Linked DNA regions of Styela clava. The protein of the gene in region 1 interacts with the protein of each later gene in a biochemical or structural test. Links are inferred from orthologs where the notes say so. Each region holds a gene or a part of one and is shown on either strand. Other genes may lie near its edges.

The links.
Region 2: of the proteins of E3 ubiquitin-protein ligase MIB2-like (region 1) and ubiquitin carboxyl-terminal hydrolase CYLD-like, one has a biochemical effect on the other in vitro, tested with the Homo sapiens proteins (2 studies listed by BioGRID, with this or other methods). The link is inferred for Styela clava from reciprocal best matches to the Homo sapiens genes MIB2 and CYLD.

Annotation. Positions count from the first base shown.
Region 1 is NC_135256.1:23,186,844-23,197,660, reverse strand, and holds the start of E3 ubiquitin-protein ligase MIB2-like, read right to left. Parts: upstream 5,733-10,817; 5' UTR 5,662-5,732; coding exon 5,494-5,661; intron 1,462-5,493; exon of another isoform or gene 1,273-1,461; coding exon of another isoform or gene 1,237-1,272; intron 1-1,236. UniProt on the Homo sapiens protein: E3 ubiquitin-protein ligase that mediates ubiquitination of Delta receptors, which act as ligands of Notch proteins.
Region 2 is NC_135262.1:20,140,459-20,152,021, reverse strand, and holds the start of ubiquitin carboxyl-terminal hydrolase CYLD-like, read right to left. Parts: upstream 4,319-11,563; 5' UTR 4,184-4,318; coding exon 4,040-4,183; intron 605-4,039; coding exon 445-604; intron 178-444; coding exon 53-177; intron 1-52. UniProt on the Homo sapiens protein: Deubiquitinase that specifically cleaves 'Lys-63'- and linear 'Met-1'-linked polyubiquitin chains and is involved in NF-kappa-B activation and TNF-alpha-induced necroptosis.

The DNA.
Region 1 (10,817 bases):
ATCGTTGCGCAAGACACTGTAATTCGCAAGTAAGAAAAAAAATTTCGCATTCTGCTTCGTTTCGACCGAAACTCAAGATGAACAAACAAAATTAATTATGCGCGCAACGTGCCCCTTTTTTCGTGTTATAGGTTTTACAGCCGTGGCCGCACATGACTATCCTTTATTATGATGAAATATAAGTTATGATTCTTGTAAAGAATGAAAATTAAAAACGCTATTCAGCATTTGTAGTATTTGAATACATTCGACTATTCGATCCGATCTGGCACACGCATGGACATGCATGGTAATGAGAACGCCAAATAAAACGATAGTAACAATGCTCAGCAAAAAAAAAAATTCAATCAACAATATATATATATCGATTTTCATTTGGAATAGAATCCATTTAAATGGTTTATTGTACTGTATTGTATTAATTCTGACAGCAATGGCATGGTGTTTTGGTCACGATATACGAATCAATTTACGGTAATGGAAAGTTGCTCTAACATACAACTTATAACGAAATACGCGAGAGTACCTGCTCCCGACAAAATACTTGAATGACAGTTCGAACGATTAGAACGCATATCTGAAAATATATATTTCAACCTACACATAACACAAAAAAAAGATCGAATGGAAGATTAATAAGGTCAAATTTATTCACAGTGACGTAACGCGAGAGTTTGAGCAAATTATTCATCTCTACAGCTACTGACCCACCTTTTACACGCTTCCTATGGAAAATTTATGCTATAAAGAGGAAATACGCCCTAAATGGGTTGGCGGAAAACCATCTGCAACGCCCGCTGCGAGAATCTAGTTTCCCAAGAACGGACTTTGGAGAAAACGTTTTCGAGTCTAATTGCAGTATCTCTATTGTTAACTTTCAAATGACGTCGCATGCTGTCCTAAACTGAATACTGATTACCTCACGAAAAACATATTTTCTCCGCACAATTTTAAAGCTAAATTTTTTTCACAGAATAGTTTTATTTTCAAAATATAAACTGCAAAACTCACAAAAATACATCAACCTTTATTTCTTTGTTTGCGAAATGGTTATATCGAGCGAAAGTATATTCACGCAGTTTCTTCGAGGACTATTTTCTCCTGGGAGAATATTTTCTCGTAAGTTGATCATTCCCGGCAAGACAAGTTCTTTCTGTCAGTTCCTTTTTAGTAGTTTGTCGACAGAAACGACAATACAATACAACAACAATATAGCACAACCATTGAGATAAAAACCTGGTTTGTTTTCAGGCAGGGGATAACTTGTCCCATATTTCTTCCTTTCCGTATTGGTCGACAACTTCGTTCAATCGCGCGATTTTTTATTTCCAAATTATCGACCCAAAATGTGGTCTCGCCATATTTTCAATTATTTATTATCAGTGCAACGTCTCAATGCCTTGACCAAAGTATGGTTTTTATTGAAGCTACTGTCGAACTTTCTAAACAAAGACAGTTATATTTTCGAATTACAATGTTTCAAGTAAAAAATTATCAAAATCAATAAAAAGCTCAAATCTGGTGATTTATATCCACTTTTACAGATTTTTCATGTATTTCACGTCAGATAGGACCCAACAACTTTCCAAATTATACACAAACACCACGCGCAACCCGATAAAGGGGTTTGGAAAGTTAATATCATTTATTAAATATAATTATACCTTAAAGTAGCAGTATACCAAAATAATTCATATTCCTAACAAAAGTTGTTTCCTCGGTCGATTACGACAGGGTTTCTCGAAATTTCATTAACTGCCTTCATGCAATTTAGTACGCGAACGTAAATCTCGAACCAAAAACAACCTCCACAATCCATCACAGACCACGCTTGGGAAAGGTGTAGCTTCACTGATATTATTAAGTAAAATAAGAGCGATCCAATAAGCAACATAATTTCGTAAAAAACTCTCGATAGATGAAATGCGTCCCCGCTCCGACATGAATGCCTAAATCAAAGTTTGAGGCGAATATAGATCAGCTAATGTTATTTGTTCATGCTACCCTCTAACTCTTTCTTCTGTCGAAGCTCGCAAATGTAAAAGGGGAGACAACAAACTGAAATTGCTAATCGAAGAACAGGAAAAGGCATTATGCGTGCGTGCGTGTCCTTATCATTTATTTAGTAGGTGCAATAAGAGTCGAGAAACTACGACTCGATTTATTAAGGCTTCAATGCATGGTAGGAAAGACGCCTTGTCGGACCAGCCTGCACACAAATACCGAAAGTGAACATATTCTATAAGAATAACATAATCTCGTTACACGAAATAGCAAGCACATTTGTAAGCTTTCGTTAGATCATAGACTAACTTCTTCACACAAAACAAGATTATAATTTATAAGTTTATTGAACAGCGAATAATCATTCGCATACGGATCAGAAGTAGGAAGTAGACAAGGAGAAAGAACCTGCAGTTCAATAAACAATATCCTAATGCTTACCATAAACATATTCTGTAAAAAATTTCCGATAATAGAGCCTAGCAGACAAAAATTGATCAAGTGTTAGATTGGCAGTTACGTGTGCCGAATTAAAAACTACAAGTTTGTTTTAGAACGCAACTTTTTCCGGGAGGCCTCATATATAGAACAATTTGTCCGTGCCAGAGGCGTGCAACTTGCGGACCGCGGACTTGTTCATCTGACACGATGAACAACACACGTCATTGCTATATTTCGCTACGTCACACTGCGATGAAATTTCGTCTAGACAAACAGTAAAACGTCTTCCCGTTGCCGAGCACATCCGTTATTTCGTTGTCAATTCCAAGTGGTCTTTTTCGGTTTTTGCTTTAAATTTCTGTCATATATATCTAAAATTCCATATTCGGACGAGCTAGCCTCTTCAAATAACATTTACATAATGCAATATCTAACTTAGTCCTGAATACAGGGTTAATTTAAGTAACTACATAACTGTATACCAAGTAGAGCTAGTCATTACTGGAATACAGAGCGACAGAAAAGTTTAGCTTGGTAATTTAGTTCCCAAATGGAGTCAAATGTGTTTATAATCATGAAATTGTCTGAAAAGGTTATTTTTTATTATAAACTGGTATGGCTCTGTGGGCATACACTGACTAATTTTCATAGTGTTAGCTTTACATTGAGTTCATAATTTTCTGTTTAGATAACTTTTAGATAACTTTTCGAGGGAAATCTTCAAACGTTTTTCTGCGATTTGTCAGGTGTTGTTATAACGATGAAATAGAATCGGCACTTTGTTTGTTATCTGTGCGAGCGCGTTTTGCAAGGCTTCCACTTACCGTTATTTACGTATTCATTACCAGCTACGTCGAAAAATTGAGAATTACCGTAAAGCCGCAATTATTAATCAAACGCACTCACATTTAGAAATCCGTACCATAAAGGGTTTACTTCAGCCAAACACTCCGGTCCTGCACTTCGAGAACGGAATTGAAATCAAAATTTGATTGTGTCCTTTTATATGGATCGTGTTAGACACAATTTAGTATATTTCTTGAAAACTATTGATCAAATAAACGGAAAGTAATATTGAACATGGTGACGGTTCACGCGTCTGGCATAGATCCAACCAAGGTCAGATATTAAATAAGTTGTGTTCATAAATTGTCGCATGTTGAAAAACAAACTGATTTATTCGAAAGAAAAATAACTATCTCCCGTTTTTCCGCAAATATTTTTGATAATAATAGTTAGAAGAATCGACTTTTTTAGGGTATGATTTTCTGTTGCGCAAACAATCCAACGTGTGGCTGATACCACGATTTAAAATGCCTTGCCGTATTAATTCTGTTTAACGTAACTCACGGTTGCGTCGACTTACGATAAATATCTAAAGTTTAAATACCACGACAATCTGCGGACATAAAATGTGTGGTAAAGTACCACAGCAATGACATGAAACGTGTGGGAACCTGGCCTATAATTAATTTTTGATTCGTATTTTTGCGATCTTGCGGAGTCGTTATCGCCGTTAAAAATACCAAGATCCGCAAAAGAATCGCAAAGAATACTACCGGTATTTATTTTAGTAAAATATTAATTTGATTAAATAGGCTATACATTAGTTAGCTTATATTCTTATATTCATCATAATCGGGAAAAAAGTGGGATGTGGCACAACGGTAATTTAACAAAAGATAAGAAGGTAGATCGCGAGCACAATTCACTGTTTCAACTTCGATGACTATTAACTATATTTCAAAATTTTTCAACATATCATAATGTGTGGCGTAGACACATGAAATTATCGTTTTTATTTGTCAAGGTGCTACTATAACAAAAGTTATGGTGCTTTTCGTGTACTGATGATTTTAACTAATAGCAACAATCTATTAAAAATTGAACATATCTGGTGGTATTTTCCAATTTTCTTACAGAAATTTTAATGTGATGTCTTCTTTGTCAAAAATTCAACACTTGGTGAAATTCAAACACCCTCATTTCAGATTCATTTATGTATACTTGGTTCAAATCTTCTACTTGTCTTTAGGAATCTTTCACTTATATGTAGATTATGAATTAATAAGGTGTCATTTACGCAAATATTATTAAAACCCATAGCTCCCTACGATTTCTCACGCCCAATGATCAGAAAGCAATGAAAAGTGCTATCATAGAGAAATACATCCAAGCATACAACATCTATGACGATTTGAGTTTTCGATGAAGTGTACTGGAATTTCAAGGAGTAAGGTGACAGTTATTGGCAAATCCACTGAAACTTATATCTGCACAAAGCTACACACAGCTAAGCTATTTTATGAGTTGTTTAAGAATGTGAGTTTGTATATCTGAAACGAACTAGTTGCGGTAGTTATTTTTGCATATTTAGTAGGCTGGATTTGGGAAAGGTTTAATGATGTACAACTGTTTCAGAGGACGTTCCTCAAACTCTTGGAAAAGCTCCACCAAACCCTAGGCCCTAGGGGTACGATTGTACCCATATTAAGAAACATGATATATATATATAGGAAAGAAAAAACATCTAATGAAAATCTTAACTATTGCGTGTCATATTTATGTCATCTAGTGAAGCCATTGGGTGATGCCTTTTGAACATGGAAGCCCAAAAGAGCTTGATTTTAAAAAATAAATTGAATAACATTATCTGATAAAGATATGAAGTAGTGAATTAGGTGTTAAGGAAGCAGACATCTGATTGCAGTGTACTAATTATTACATATTACCGGTAATGTCAACATGTATGTCCTGACTCAATATTTTGTCATCTGTTGGAGAGCTATGGAAACTAATGTCGCAGTCAATTCGGCTACCGAACGTTTGCACTTTATCAAGATTTAGGTAGAAAAATGATTTTACAAAATTCGAACTAGTTTTTATCAAGTTCAGTTTTTCACATTTTTTAAATATTTTAAATATGTTATTGTAACGAAAGTAGAAAGGTTTCAATTTCACGCCTTGACCTTCGGTCTGATGTATAGCAAAAGAAGGCAAAACTATTGTACATTTATATTATAACAAAATCATTATTTCATATATTACCTGATCACCCCATTTCCAGTCCGGCCCACGAATAACACGGTATCCGACTTCGACCATGTTACCAGATATTGCACATTGAAGAAAGCTAGTTGATGAATTTATATTTGATGAGTCAAAAAATTTTTCTTCATTGAGAAATTTTGGAAAACAAGAAAAATCACAGCCCATATCACTAGTTGACTATGATATTCGCTAAAACAGCTTCATATGAAATATATATTATATATCCAGTAGATCTGAAACAACATATATAGACATATTTCAGTATTTTTTTTTATATAAGCTAATACTGTAATACCTGTATGTCTTCGCCCTTTTTTAGGGAAAATTAGAATTAGTTTTACCCTCAACAATTTAGTGATGGAATACCACCAGCAACATTTTTGCAAATGTATTTATTATGGCAGTATGGAGGTGCTAACTGCAAATCTCTTACTGCAGTACTGCTGTACTGTCTTACAGGATACAGATAAAGTTCAAATCAGAAAACTAGGCTATAAAATGCCACCTTCAAACAGGTCACAGAAAACTGTATTAACTCAGAATCGAGAAGTTTAAAAGTACCGGTACCGGTATGCTATGCTTTTCAAAAAGAAATATTTGGAACAGAAATCCTTGGATTTTTTGGAGAACTCAGTTTACAGTTTGAGGAATGTGATTAATAGTGTACAGTACCAGTATCGGTAGCTTATATGTGTATATTGGAATGCATTACGGCTTCCTCCACCATAAATTCCCTGCATCTGCAACAAATACGGTACCGTACCGGTAACTGGCTAACTAATCTCATACCGGTACCGGTACGGTAACCGAACAGCAGGACGAGACACCGTGGTTTGCCAAACGATTAAGGCATCTTATCGACTTTCCTTTCCCCGGTAGTCTATAATCATGTAAATGCTATCTATGTCGCTGCGTGTGATATTATACGGTACGGTACCGTACTGGTGTAAATTCAGAAATTGCTCAAGCACTTTTTTTTTTTTTTTTTTTTTTTTTTTTTTTTTATAATATATATTGAAAAATAACAAATAAAATAATATCAAAAAGAATTACCAACAGTACATTATTAATATGTTAAACATGTTTTTCATGGTTGTTCCAAGGAAGAATTCATCACCGTTCATTTTTTCCATAATTCCATTTTTTCATAATCATCATTTATAAGATTACAATTATTTTTAAGATAAAGCATGTAAATAAAAGTTTTTCCAATTATTATTTATCTAATAAGTACATACACTTGTATAGACATACATACACTTGTATAGACATTTGTATCAAATATATTCATTCCTTTTTTTTTTTTTTTTTTTATTTATAAAAACAGTCAATATTATCAATACTAGTCAATCTTAAAAATGTACTATCAAAAGCTATGACATTACCGACTTTTCTAACAAGTTTTCAATTCTTCCATCCTCCAAAAAGCTATTTTTCATATTTGATGCCATATTTTTCAGCATCCCTCTAATTTTACATTTAAAAATTATTCTCATAACTGATTGGAAATTATCCAAATCTTCAAATATTATTTGATTCCTGAATTCCCAAATAGCTGCCTTTCCACATGCAACTATCATAATAACTGACAGGTCACATGTATTTTGTGCAAGCACCATTGACAACATAAGCCAGCAAGGACTTTTTACGCAGTTGAGGGTATTCCCCAAAAAGAAAACAACAGTGCGGAAAGAAACGTCAGTGCGGAAATGACAGGAGTCTGCATTTCTATATCGGAGTCCGGAGAGTATTCATTTAAAAACAAGGCCACTTAACAAGTATCAGATATTAAAAATAGTCATGATAATACAAATAAACAATATACTTAATCTCATATACCTATATGTCGTTCTGGGATTACGTCTTTTGTCATTATATTCATATTTTTTACTCTCATTCATTTGCATCTTTATCTAAAAGTTTTTTCAATCAATCAATCATTTTATTTCGGCTCTCTGACTAAAACGGAACAATACAAAAAAGTAAACAGACAACAAATACAGAAATACCTGATAGGCGAGCATAACTTAAAATAAAGTTAAAAAACGTACAAGTACGTGCCCACCCAACAAAAAAAAAAAAAACCTAGCCTATATCGCTTCACCTAGCCTATATCGCTGAAAAGACAAATAGGAAATTTGAATTAATCTAAGACCTTTTTTATTTTAAATTGAATTGCTTTTCGAGTTCTCCCGGAATATGATGAGTACCCGACGTTATATGATAAAACATTATTTGCGATTAATTTAGATCAAATTTTACTTTCCAAGACACCCGGTTTCCGAAAATACGAAGTTATAACGCAAAACAATGCGTTTTCTTACATTAATTTTGCGATCCCAATAAAATACATCTGCTGTATCTGTCGAGTGTCGGGCGGTATTTTAGACGGTATACGGAACAAGTGTGACAAAAGCATGACATCTATGAGAAGAGCAGGAAAAGTGTGAGAAAATAATGGCAAGTGTGTGGCAAACAGGACAAGCGTGATAACAAGAAGGACAAGTTTGATCCAAGCAGGACTAGTGTGGGGCAAGCAGAACTAGTGTGAGACAAGCACTACAAGTCCAGGATAATTAGGACAATTAATTGTAATATAAGAGAAAAGTGTGGCACAAACAGGACAATTTTGAGGCAAACAGGACAGATGTCGGGAAGATAGGACCAATGTGATACGAGTGGGAAACAAGCCGGACAAGTGTGATATGAGCAGGAAAAGAGTGAGAAATTTACATGACAACCAAGAGAAATTTATGTCACTCAGGACAATCGCGGTAAAGGCAAGACAAGTGTGGACCAAAAGTCAAATCTGAGTAAAAAAAAAGTTGAGGGGAAAACAGGACACGTATGGGACAAGAGAGACAAATGTGAGAAAAGCAAGACGAATGTGATACAAGCTGGACAACTGTGAGAAAAGCAGAACAAGTGTGGGATGAACAGGTCGAGTGTGACACAAGCAGGACAACTGTAGAAAAATCAAGTCAAGTGTGTCACAAACACTATGAGTTGGATAAAATCATTACAAGGTATGGGACAAGTTGTGAGGAAAGCACGACATGTGTGATACACGCAGAACAAGTATATGGCAAGCAGCGCAAGTTTCAATTAGGACTATTTTAAGACAAGCAGGAAAAGTATGGGACACAAAGATTAACATTGATGCAAAAATGACAAGTGTGATACATGTGTGTGGGACAAGCAGAAAAGTGCAAAAATTGCAGGAGATGTGTGAGACAAGCAAGAAAGTATAAAAAAAGTGTGATACAAGCTGGGCAATTGTGACAAAAAGCACGACAAGTTTGTTCAAACAAGTTTGAGGTAAGCAGTGGGAGTGGGAGTCAGGAAATCGAGATACAAGCATGGCAAGACTAGGACTGAATCAAGTATGGGAGAGGCGGGGGGAAATGGCACAAACAGGACAAATATGCGACAAGCAGGACAAGTGTGAGACGAGCAGCACAATTGTGGGATAAGCAGAACTTGCGAGAGACAACAAGGAACAATGTGTTACCACCAGGACAATTATGGGACATGCAAGACAAGTGTCATTTAAGAAGAATAAGTTTGAGACAAACAGGAAATGTGTGGAACAAAGAGAAAAATTGTGATACAAGGAGGACAATTTTGTGATATGCAGGAAGAGTGTGAGACAATTCGGACATGTGTTCTACATGCAGGATAAATGTATTACAAACAGCACACAAGAGTCGGACGGACAGGACAACTTTAGGAATAGCGAAACAGGTGTGGGACAAACAGAAAAATTGTTGGACAAGTAGGACAAATGTAATACAAACAATACAAGTGTGGAAAGAGCATCCCACGTGTTGAACAAGCACGGAAAGTGTGGGGCAATTACGAGAAGTATGGGACACGCAGGACAAGTGTGAGACAAGCAAGACAAGTGTGGCGCAAGTAGGACAAGTGTAAGATGAGCAGGGCAAGTGTAGGACAAGTAGGAAAAGTGTGGGACAAGTATTACCAAGCAGGCGGAATGTTAGTTAGACAAGTTTAATACAAGTAGGACTATTGTGAGATGAGCAGGACAAAAGTATTACAAACAGAAAAAATGACGAGGCAGCAGGACAAATTTGGGACAAGCAGGAAAGTGTGAGTCAGGCAAAGCTAGTGAAGGACAAGCGTGGGACAAGCAGTGCTAGTGAAAGACAAGCTGGATAAGTGTCAGACATGCAGTACAAGAGTGATTCGAGTATGGTAAATGTGGGATAATAAGGGTAATTGTGAGGCAAGAAAAGCAAGTTGGTTTCAACTAGGTCTAATTTGAGAGAGTAAAAAGTGCGGAAAACGGTACACCTGCGAGACAAGGAGGATAAGTGTGAAATAAGCAGAACAATTGTGAAACAAGCAGAAAAGTGTGGAACACGTATAGACAGATGTAAACAGATGTAACACAAGAAGGACTAGTGTGAGAAAAGTTGGACAAGTGTGGTACAAAAGGACAAGTGGCAGGCCAGTTGGAGCAGTGTGTATCAAACATTACAAGTGTGAGACAGTAGGACAAGTGTGAAACGAGCAGAAAAAGTGTGACAAATGCAGGACAAGTGTGAGACAACAGGGTCAAGAGTGGGACAAGTAGGAAAAGTGTTGGACAAGCAGAAAAGTTATTAGACAACCAGGATAAGTGTATTCTAAGCACGACAAATGTGAGATGAGCAAGGCAAGTGCTACACAAGCTTGAGAAACCTAATACGAAGAGGACAAGTTTGAGAAAAACAAGGCAAATATCAAACTAGCAGGACAAATTTGGGACAAGCAGGACAAGTATTAGACAAACAGGGTAAGTGTATTCCAAGCCGGGTAAGTGTGAAATTAGCAGGGCAAGTATTATACAAGCTGAATAGCCTACAAGGAGGACAAATGTGAGATGAGCAGAACAAATGTTAGAGAAGCAGGATAAAAATAATACGAACAGGAAAAGGGAAAAACGAGCAGACCAAATTTGGGACAAGCAAACAAGTGTGGGACCAGCTTGAAAAGTGTGAGACCGGTAAGGCCATTGAAGGACAAGCGTGAGACCGGCAGGTATAATAAAGGATAAACAGGATAATTGTCAGACATGCAGTTCACGAGTGATTCGAGTATGGCAAATGTGGGATAATCAGAGAAAATTTGAGGCAAGCAAGACAAGTTTGTTTCAACTAGAAGCATGACAAGTTTAATACACGGAGGACAAGTTTGACATGAACAAGAAAAATGTTAGGCAAGCATGACAAAAGTATAACATACATATAACAGCACAATTGTCGAACAAGCAAGACAAGAGTGAGGAAAAGCAAACAAGTGTGGCACAAGCAGGATAA
Region 2 (11,563 bases), on another chromosome or scaffold:
TTGTTTAAGTCAGTATTTCGCTCATGATGTATTTTGCATTAGGTTTTCATACCTCCGAAATTTCTTTCACATCTTTTTTGCTACATTGGAAATAAACTTCAGATTCAGGATTTCTACAAAGTATTTTATTTTTTTCCAAAACATCTTTAGTTGTTTCAACCTCCCTTAATAAAGTTCCTGAGATAATAGAAAATTATTAAATATTCTTTAAAACAATGGGAAGAATGCTACAAACTAGGGACATAAATTCTATATCCATTACAAGACAGATAAAATGTGACACAACTAATTTATATTCAAACAAGGCTCTTGATAAGCGGTCAGTCATATATAGCTAGTATATAATATAGAGTCAGAGTCAAAATGACCGATAGTTTACCAGCATATAAACCAACGAAAGAGCTAAAACGCACAATCAAAATAGGCTAATCAAATTGGTTTTACCTTTAAAATATTGCACTGTATTTGTTTTTTTCAACCTTGTAGTAACTCTTGATTGGTCAGCGTGAGTGATGTACCTATCACTCAATAAAATAAGGGGTTTACCAGCATCACCAGTTCCTCTACTGGGAACGACATAATATCCAAGTTCTGCCATATTTATCTAAAAAATATACGACAAAAACATACAAAAATATTAGACTGAATACATCCAAAGATCAGAAAAACTGAGCTTGTGAACTTTTCCAACTGAGTATATAACATGATATATAATGAAATTCATTAGCCACTGTACAATATAGGACATTTAATATTGATCTAGCATTGTATTATAGAATGCTGTTTCAGCAAAGTAAGTGTTTGTTAGAACAGATAGATTCATTCAAAGATTAGAAACGATACTCCTTGTCCTGCTTCAATTCATTATTTTTTAAATTTATCTACCACTTATTGAAAACCTGCGAACACACCAAAAATTGCTAAAACTGTGTATTGCTATTGCTATGTACTGTAAAAGATTTATTTCACAAATATTCAAAAATCAAACGGGTTTAAACTAAACATCTACAGTTTACCAAATGAATTAATTTTAAGATACAAATTCAAATATTTTAAAATATTAGTCAGCCACATAGTATATTAAACCCGATTACACAGCCTACAGAACTAGCATTTAAATAAATAAATCTCAATTAATGCTATAAAATATATATGATCGATATTACATCATCTAATGTAACATACAATTCACCCTGTCAAGTGATTCACCATATTTTCATGAAGGCCACATCCTCAAGATATCATTATACTGACAGACATATACAAGTCTATAATTGGACCTCTATGTAAGCTCAACAACCTAGAAAAATCCCCATAACACTGGAAGGGAATTTTTCTTGGGCTTTATTATATGTCACGATTTGAGAGAGAAAAGGAGAGAGAAAAAAAAAGAAAAAAGGCCTAGATGAATAGGTCAATGCACGCCAATGGTATATTATATTCATGCCTGGGCCTTTACAAGAAAACTCTCAAGGGAGGAACAAACTTATCAAATATGTTTCAAACAATTTAATACTTCAAACTGACTACAGAAAACCCCAAATGTATACAAGAGGTAAAATATATCACTGGAAAAGTCCCTTTGAAAATCATTCAGAATATCAAATCAACTGCTTTCTCATTTAGGTAACCATAAGTAGATATTTAGAATAAGATTTGAAGAATTTCTGTAGAATGAGAAGTATGTTCATTGGCTTGTTGTGTCGATATATGGGTTCAACATCAAAAAAGGGATTCAGTGGGGTAAGCATCGCCAGACTCTTTTGGGTGCTGGGGTTGTTAACATGAACTCTGCCATATACAGCCACCTTAAGAATCTTATGGAATGTTGAGTAAAGCGGCTGTATGATTAATACAGAATTACCCCATATTCTAGAATCTGTATGCAAGCTTTGTTTGCCACATTACGTTAGGATTAAATGTATGGTCAAAAACTTATAATCCTGTGAAATGTCAATGATTTCACAATAATTTTATAAATTTTGTTGAATCACCACCCCATGATAATTAGGCTATATAATAATTATATAATATGGTGATGAACAACATCAACATCCATATACTTTTTGTTTTCAATAATTATACATAAAAATATTTTTCAAAGTGTGAACCACAGTAGTTGTCTAGTTCTTGTTCGAGTTATCAGGAACCAGACTTGGAAGACAGGAATTGAATATTTATCAAAGGTTATTTCGATTTTCAGAGCAAAAGCACAAGAAAAAATTAAAACAAATAAATTTATACCTGGACAAAATCAATAAAGGTGTGCAGAATATAACAAAATTTTATTTAAGTATAGATGAATTTATTACCAAAAAAATACCTATGCCTGAAAACCCAGTGGCGCAGCCAGAGGGGTTTTCGTGTTCGAAACCCCCTTTTTTGAAATTTTTGAAAGAAAATGTTGCTAATAACATGTGCAGTTGCATTTTGTTGATATCACAAATAGCGACATGCTATTTGGGCCTTGAACACCTTCATTTCTGTATATATTATTATTATACCTAAATCCCAATTTCCGTCAACCGATGGTGATTACTTTTCTATTCTCGAATGGAGAATTGTGAAATAATTGTGAAAAACGAATTATTGTATAATATTCATCAGTGACAGGATGCTTATTAAGATAATAAAGTAAATCCACAAACCAGATTTTTTTAGATTAAAAAGTGGCATTGTAAAATACTAAAGATAATAAAACGGAGGAAAATTTTTATTTAGGAGGCTCACAACAACTTAAAAAAAAACGCTTTTTAAACATTGTTAATCGAAAAATTTGTCTATTATCTAATTATCACATTAGGTCATGTTGACTTTGAGTATGTTATACCAGTCAGGCAGTCACTGAAATCGAAACACATTCAATCGCTCGAACCATGTACCTTCTCATTCATTCTAAAACTACAGACGGGGCCTCACACAACTTTTCCCCGATATGTGATGATATATTACGAATTTACGGTAGATAAGTATATCAATCAAATTTTACTGTACTAAAATAAATTTCACTCTGGGATATTGTCGCAGATATAGAGGTTTTCTGATGGTAATTTCTCAACAAAGAATACGAGAGGAGTCACTGCGATAGAGAGGAGATAGTATTTCAAGAACGGCTTTGATTTATCAAATCTGTTTTACCGTTGATAAGAATCCAAACAAAATATAATCAGACACACTGCCACACATTTTTATGACACGATAATTTGGACTAGAAATGCTTTATATTTTTAGTCAGGGAACAACCGGTTACATGGAACACAATTCAATTATTAAATCAATACATTTTCAATTTGCCTATGAATATTTTGCGCAATTGAGATTTGTACTCTTTGACATCTTAACGCAGACATTGGGATTTTTCTAATGATGATATGCTAAAAATAATCTCATTGAGTTCTAGTCAGTGCTGAAAGAATACCTTAATTAAAGTTAACAAATCCCAAGATCGTAAAAATCCGAATCCAATCTATCCAGTATTTTATATCTGCAGATTGCAGTAGTATTACAGAGTAGTAGTGCTCTTATTTCGGCGCAAATGCAAGTTATGATGAACACATTAAATTAATATAGCGAGACATTTTAAATGGTCGCATCAGTCATGGATTGAATATGTTAGCAGCAGAAAAATCACAACACGCTGGAAAATCAGTTATTTTAAAGAGTAGCGTAATCGCAGCACCATTTCATATTATCACCAAAGCAAATCTTAGAGACCCCCTTCCCAAACCCAAATGCTAACCAATGTCCTGTCACACAATTAAATCATAAATGTAATTACGTGAATATCGGTCGGAGACCGAACACTTATCGATCGAAACTGCGGTTTCGATTCATGACTCTATAGTGACACCGCGTGTCCCATCACTAATTAATTAATAACTCGCTAATTATACGACATATTTCATCCAAAATCAATAGGCTTCTGATCCCAGGGATCGGTAAGTAATTAGCAAGTGCCTGGAAAAAATTAATCCAAGTTGAATATCCTTTCAACTAGCAGTAACTAAAGTTTTTCTTGAAGAAAAAACTTTAGACTTACCCTGTATTGAACTTCTAGCAAATCTAGTAAGGAGGGCTGAGGCAGTTTGCCCTTCAATACATAAGTCAAAAATGTAAGGTTCAATTTCATCTCGAGTCCATTTTGGTCTTGTCTGAAACAAGATGTCAAATCGGGCAGCAGCATCTTGAGGCAAAGTTTCAACAGAAAAATATTGAATAGTTGTTGGATTTGCTGTATTGTCTATTATAGCAAGTCCTTGAAGATATTTCTCATCTGATTTTAATCCATATGGAAGACTCTGGTCCCAAACCTCCAAGAATTCAGTTAGGTTGAATTTTCCGACATCTCGTAAAAGCATTTCTGCAAAAAATCGACAAACTTTCTCTTCCTTTAATTTAAAATACTTTTCACTATTATCATGCATAAAAATCATTGTTCCGTAGAATGCCATTAAATGATGAACTATGTACCCCGGTACTAGTTCACCAGAGTCATTGATTTTTTCGCAAAGCTGTGAAAAAGGAACTTTGAAAATATCCCACGATTCTGAATCGATGACATTGCAAATTGCACCAAGACAGTCAACAATATATCCAAAATCCAATAACCTCCAATATCCATCAATACAAATACATCCCATATTGAACAAGGCACTTGTAAGCTCCCCTTCACTTGCTTGAACAATGTTCAGTAGATCAGTTAAAGTATACTTCATTTTATCAACATTCTCTTCTTCCTTTTCTGGACCTTGGAATAGAGTTTCACCCAGAAGTTGCTTGATCTTGAACAGCTGTGGATGAATGCGTTTCAGTTCTAAGTAATCATGTGACCAGCCTATTATATTTCGATAAAGTAGAAATGGCTTGTCATCAATATTCTCCTGTTCTTCTTCACTTGTACTGCTGTCAGAAGCAACAGATGATTTCTTTTTCGCGGATACAGTGCACTTAGATAATGTGAGCAAAGTATTCGAGGTTCTTGCCTTTTTTAAATCATAAGTACAATCACTAGTACACAATGTGGCAGAATCATCCTCACCTCCACGAATGACAAGTGTTTCACCCTTTGTAATATGTTCAAGAATATCCTTATTTAATTGTATCAAAGTAAATGATTGATCCGAAGAGTCATTTGCAAAATAAAGTGTTTGTGAAGGTCTTGCCAAATCACTCTGATTGAGCTTCGATAATTTTAATGTCTCTATGACGTCGTCTTCGCTTCTGCAACAAGTATCTTGCATATTTTCTATTAATATTTCATAGAATAGACAACTGAATAACCTTCTGTAATACATAAACATTGTTAATATCAGACTAGGGCTAATAGCCGCATCACCACCAACGAGTTATTTCTTAAAATATTTCGCTCATTCATTCATTTCATAATGATCATAATATGTACAATGTGTTACAGTGTTAAGTCAAACAAACTCTTTTTCCATATGAAATTGATAACCTCCTATTCATCCAACCTGACCCCCTATGTTTTTATTTAGTCTATTTTAGCCTACCGTACTATTTAGTCTATTTTTTCTACCACAATTTCATTAACTACAGAATTGGGTATTGATTTTAGTAGTTTTTCAACCGGTTGTAAATAATTCGATGACCTCCAGACCTCAAAGTCACATCATTACTAGGGATGGGCCGAGATTCAGATCCGGACTCGGATTCGAGTCGAATTCACACATTTTTTGGACTCGGATTAGATTGAGTCCACGTCATTTTTACCGAGTCTATAATCAATTCTGTTTTTACTAATTCGCGCCTATGTTTGTACTTTTACCTCTATAAATCTCAGTACATACCCTAACTGGTTAATTAAAATTCGTTGTTAGATCTGTAACAATATTCCTCGTATGTAATATACCGGTAAACACTCTTAATAAAAACGACGACAGATATCCAGATAATATAACGCATGTTGAAAACTATTGATCGCTTATACCTTATAACAGGGATGGCGAACCACTGACCCGCGGGTCACAAATAGACCCACCGCGTTTTGTCGGTGACCTGCCAAGGCACGAATGAAATAAAAACATACTAACTTGTAAGTGATAAAAATTGATAAAACCGGCTTCAAACAAATTTAACAGTAAGTAAACTACATAATGTAACGTCAGTTGGGCAGTCCGACATGCGAACGCTCAAATTCAAATTTCCGGATCGGTGTGGTAATTTTCAGAACTCCCAATCTTGGATGCACATGTTCACCCTTGTATACGGTACCTTTAAGCAGCTATTGGCTGTGATATCGTTTATGACAAAACAATCAATTCGATCTGTTCATTTCTCGCAACGTCTCGTTACAGCAGTGGTTCTCAACCTGTGGTACGCGGGGGCTTTTCAAGTGGTACGCTTTGAATTATTGCAATAACCGACTTTTGAGGTGGCTAAAATATGGCAGACACACTTTCTATTTATCTTCCATTACTGAATGTATTCGCTGAATAGTTTATAGCGTTACCAGTCCTTCTCTTTAATGAGCGCTCTCGCCCGCTACTGCCCACCTAAAAAGAAACGAGACGGGCATATTTTCGACCGTTTTACGTGTTACGTCCACAATGCATCACCATTGAGAAATTGGCAACGAAGGGAGCATTCGGACTTCGGAGGGGTGCTCGACGCGTGTCGGAATACCCTGATAGCGCCTAGATACATCATAAATATGTTACTATTACTGACTGATGTATGTGTTGGCTGATCGGCATAATCTTGACTTTTGAGTCCAAATAATTTGAAGACTAGGTTAGGCAGTTCCGCATAGCGGCTAGAGCCGACCGAAGTGTATTTGTCCGAGTTTTGCGATAATTCAGTGGTGACGATGATTAGAGCCGACGATAAACGACGCAAATTCTCTTGTGATTTTGCACACAATTATTACGTTGTTACTGCATATAATTAATACGTTGAAACTGTGCACGAAGCTCTAAAAATGGATGTAGTGCCACATAAAATACTACCATAGAGCGTTTCTTGTGCCATTGTTCCCCGCCACAAAAGCGGTTTTGTCGGTGATATGCGGCCATGGTAAAAACACAAAAGTGGTACGCGGTCAATAAAAAGTTGAGAACCACTGTGTTACAGCGTTCATTCAGATGAACTGAAAAGGCACTGCAGACTGTTTAGTTTAGGGTATACGAAAACTAGATGCTACTTTGCATTCATCAGTTTCTCGCCTACAATGTCGTGGAGGAAACAAAATCTGTTAGACTCAAAATGAGGACCTAGAAATCTGAAACAACAATGGGGCAGTGTGAAAGTACCTTAATCTGGTTGAAAGCCAATCGAAAAATAGAACTCTATCAGAGTGGAATTCCCTCCAAACTCTTTGGCGCGCAAAATAATTTGCCGCATCATTCTAAACGTTTTTGGGTAATTCATAATATGCGTGTTTTTGTACACGAATTTCATAAAATCGAGTGTCATTAACAGTCCAGTAGTCTCTGGTTGAAGTGCTGCATAAATAAAGCCCGAAGCTACACAACACCAACCGAAGCTTATAAGATTTGAAAGATAGGATGCAGCAGCAAGTTCCTTATAGATAATAACATTGATTAACTTATTGTCACCCACACTCTTCTGTTCCGTGATAAAAATATAATTTTTGACCCATTCGTCGAAATAGCTTCGCCATCCCTGCCTAAGTTTACAGCTAGAAGTATCTGAAATTATGGGGAAGCATTGCAGTCAAAAAAATTTTATTTTTCATATTGACATGTAAGAATTGCTAAATAGCAGCCCAGAATTAACGGAAGGTGATGGGCTAGAAATCTAGTTCACAACCAAGGCGCATATTGACCCACGTTCACGTTTGTATTGTGGCCGCTAAAAAGGAGGAAAATATATTTCTAAAATGATTCAACAGCTATCTGCGGAACTATTAGGTAAAAAATACGAGCTACGACCAGTGGCGTAGCCAGCCCAAAATTTTGGGGGGGGCCAAATTTGAAAATTTTAGAAATTATATTGGGTTTAAAACACCCGTTCTTCAAGCGCAAAACAACAACAGTTGGTCAACAAGCAAACTGATTCAATTACTCAGCTGGATTTTTGTGAATACAAAATCCATTAATAAACGATTTTTTATTTGAAACAACAAATATTAACAACGCAATTTAAATAAGTAAAATACATCGCCCCGATTAAAAGTCCATCCTTCGCTTCCCGCTAACTATGCTCGACACAACTCGATTAATTTTCTCCTCGGTGACCATTTCACGGTGACAGTGAAGCACACACAAATCAGAAAGGCGATTGGACGTCATTGATGAGCGCAGCCATGTCTTTACCCGTTTCATGCAGGAGAAAGACCGCTCAGCCTCAACGGTGGTTGCTGGTAGCGTCATAACGATCTGTATTGCGGTGTACACGCTTGGATAATCTCGAGCGCTCAAAAGAAGCCCCTCCAAACATTCGTCGTTAACGTCGGAACTTAAAGAAGTTCTCCACAGTCTCACTTCATTCTGGAGGTTATCCAATAAATACAGATGCTCTACCTCATCCACGTGAACTGGTTTGTTCGGTGGAAGAATTGATAGCAATGAAAAAAATGACGGGTTGTCAATGAAGCGTTCCCGAATAGAGCAGCTCAAGCCGTCGACGTATGGGAGATATACGGAACGTTTAAAGTACTGGGATGCTGAATCAGCACAGACATTGTCGCGATACACTTGTACTTCGACTACTCTGGGTATTGTCAACTCTTTCAAGCCAGCTATTTCACAAGCTTCTTTGTAAATATTCAATGCGATTTCAGAGTCATTGCGTTCTTCAGCGATAACGCTCTGAAGAGAGGATGTGAGGTTCTTTACTGACGGCACACTGACTCCGATCGCCTGAAGTGCGCGCGCTAGTGGCTCCATTAGTGCCGAATATCGACCAATCAAACATACGGCGTAGATAACCGACGACTTTTCTAGAGCAGATTTCAGAGAAAAAGCCTTCGCCCGCGTCTCACCGTTAGCATCTCTCGCCAAAGAATCAAGAGCCTCAAGTACTCGTTTGAAGTTGCATTTGAAGATTCGGATGCTCTTGTACTTCTCAGACCATCTGGTGGGGCAGAACAAAGGGATGTTAATTCCTAAACCCGCGCGCCTTTTAGGGCTCTCCCTGAAAAAACGAATAGTCTCACGAATGATATCACAGGTGCTTCTGATGATTGCAACTTTACTTTGGTCATTTATGACCAAACTCAAACAATGAGAAGCGCAGTGCACAAATATTGCGCGCGGGTATTTATCACGAATGCGTTTTTGCACACCGCTGACGTGACCTGCCATTGTCGTTGCACCATCATAGCCTTGCCCCACAAGTTTTTGCAAATCCACTCCTATACCAGAGAGGTGGGTCAAAATATTTGAGGAAATTGATTCGGCAGAAACAGAATCCATTTCCACTAATCCTGTGAAGCGCTCGCACACTTCACCACCTTTCACATACCTCAAAACGATGCTTAGTTGTTCTTTCCCAGAAATATCACATGATTCGTCGGCTATTACGGACACAAACGATTTATTAGCCTCCATAACGATATCTTGCACTATCATGTTGCTTGCTACCTTGAGAATTTCATTTTGTATCATCGGGCTTGTATACTTAGCGTTTCCGGCCATTCGAGCGAAATGCCTTTTCAAATCTTCATCCCCTGCGTCGATACGAAATAGAAGAAGGTTCACAAAATTTCCACTATCCCCGGAATGTCCGCGCAAGGATATGTTACCCGAAGCACAGAACATGACAGTCTTGACAATGGAAGTCATTATTCGTCTGTTTTCTTTTGTTTGCGTAGCATATTGGGCCTCCATGTTTGCACGCACATTTTGACCAGTTTCCATGCTTTTGACAAAATTTTTCGCAGCTATATTTGATTCTCGGTGGTAATTTGTGTCTCGATGTGCTACAGCCTTTTCCATAAATTTTTTGTAGTCGATGCATGGTCTTGTAACAAAGGCAGTGTCCCTGAGAGTTCCATGCTTCAAACGTGCTTGCATGACTATGCATATCTTACACAAACCACCCCCATCAGAGTGTTGGGTGTAAACTAACCAACTGCAAAATCTGTTATCGTCAAGCCATTTTTTGAGAAATTTACGACGACTTTGTCTAACAGTATCCAGAATCGTCACGTTTTTCGGACCATCCGAAGTTAGAAGCCTGTATCTCTCCGCATCGGTAAGCTGTGTATGTTTCTTAAGAACAAATCCAAGATCGTTTGTTTTGCCTTCGTTGATTATTAGTTCATCTTCGGGAATAGAAGTGATAGACGTAACTGACGTAACCGGTGCATCCACAGCCTGAGAAGCGCTTATTGATGTATATGAGGAAAGCGAGTCTTCATTTCGCTGGAAAAAACTATCTAATTTCGCCTGTTTAAATTTAGCGATCGAAGTAATTTGGTCATCAAAATTCAAGCGTTTCGAATAAAAATCCGGCGAGAACAAATCAAGACCGAGCAACTGACCGAAAGCTTGCGAAACAGTCTTTCCCGTACTGCTCATAAGAGCGACCGGTCAAGTCTTTGTGACGTAACAATGACAATCAACAAGCGTGACGAGACAAGATGCCACAAAACTGGTGGATTAGGAATGGAATTCTTGAAAATTTTGGGGGGGGCCATGGCCCCTCTGCCCCCCCCCCCCCCCCCCCTGGCTACGCCTATGGCTACGACGAATGTTTGTGAGCGCACGTTGCTGTAGCATGGTCAAAAACGTGTTTTTATGCTTTTCCATTGTGACGTCACGGACTGGGAAGACTGATTCGAGTCCTTGACCTATTACTCGGATTCGTCGAATCTCTGTAATGCCGGACTCGTCCCATCCCTAATCCTTACAAGTCTGACAGAAGTATAAGTATATATTGACTCAGCATAAAAAGCGATAAAATAATTGATAGAAACAAAATAAATAAAACTGTTTACAGAATTACTGAATAGGGAAAGTGAAGAAAACTTTAAGTAAGGTGTTTAAAATGTACAAGTTGTACTTGTTGGGCTGTTGGCTCACCCAAAATTCACCCAAAAATATTAACTTAATTAAAACACACACAAACATACAATCACACAGACAAAATAAAATTGGAAAGGGAAAAAAACAAGATATATTTCTCAGTAAAAAGATAAATACACAAACAAAAATAAAAGACCTAAGGGATTCACACCATATTAATAATTTTGCGTGGATCGCCAAATTGGATACCAAATTATTTAACAGGCTGAGTATAAGTAACTATATTTGACATTAATTAAGGCAGTATGGTACTGACTAGGCTTGCACGTAATTGACAAAAATCAATTCCGTAAATACGGCCAAATTGATTACGTAATGACACCGTAATTGCGATATTTTTTCACACATTTAAACCTATCATAACAACCAATTGAATCCACTTCATTTTCGATGGGGACATCGAGTTTGGGTTTTCATATTCCTGGCAGTACTACATGCCGGCGACAGATGTTAAGACAAGAGTGAATTCAAATTAATTTTATTCTGATTTTTATCTTTTGTGCTAGCTTTGATTTCCTTTATCACCTTCGCAAATTAACCGTCCCAATTTTATG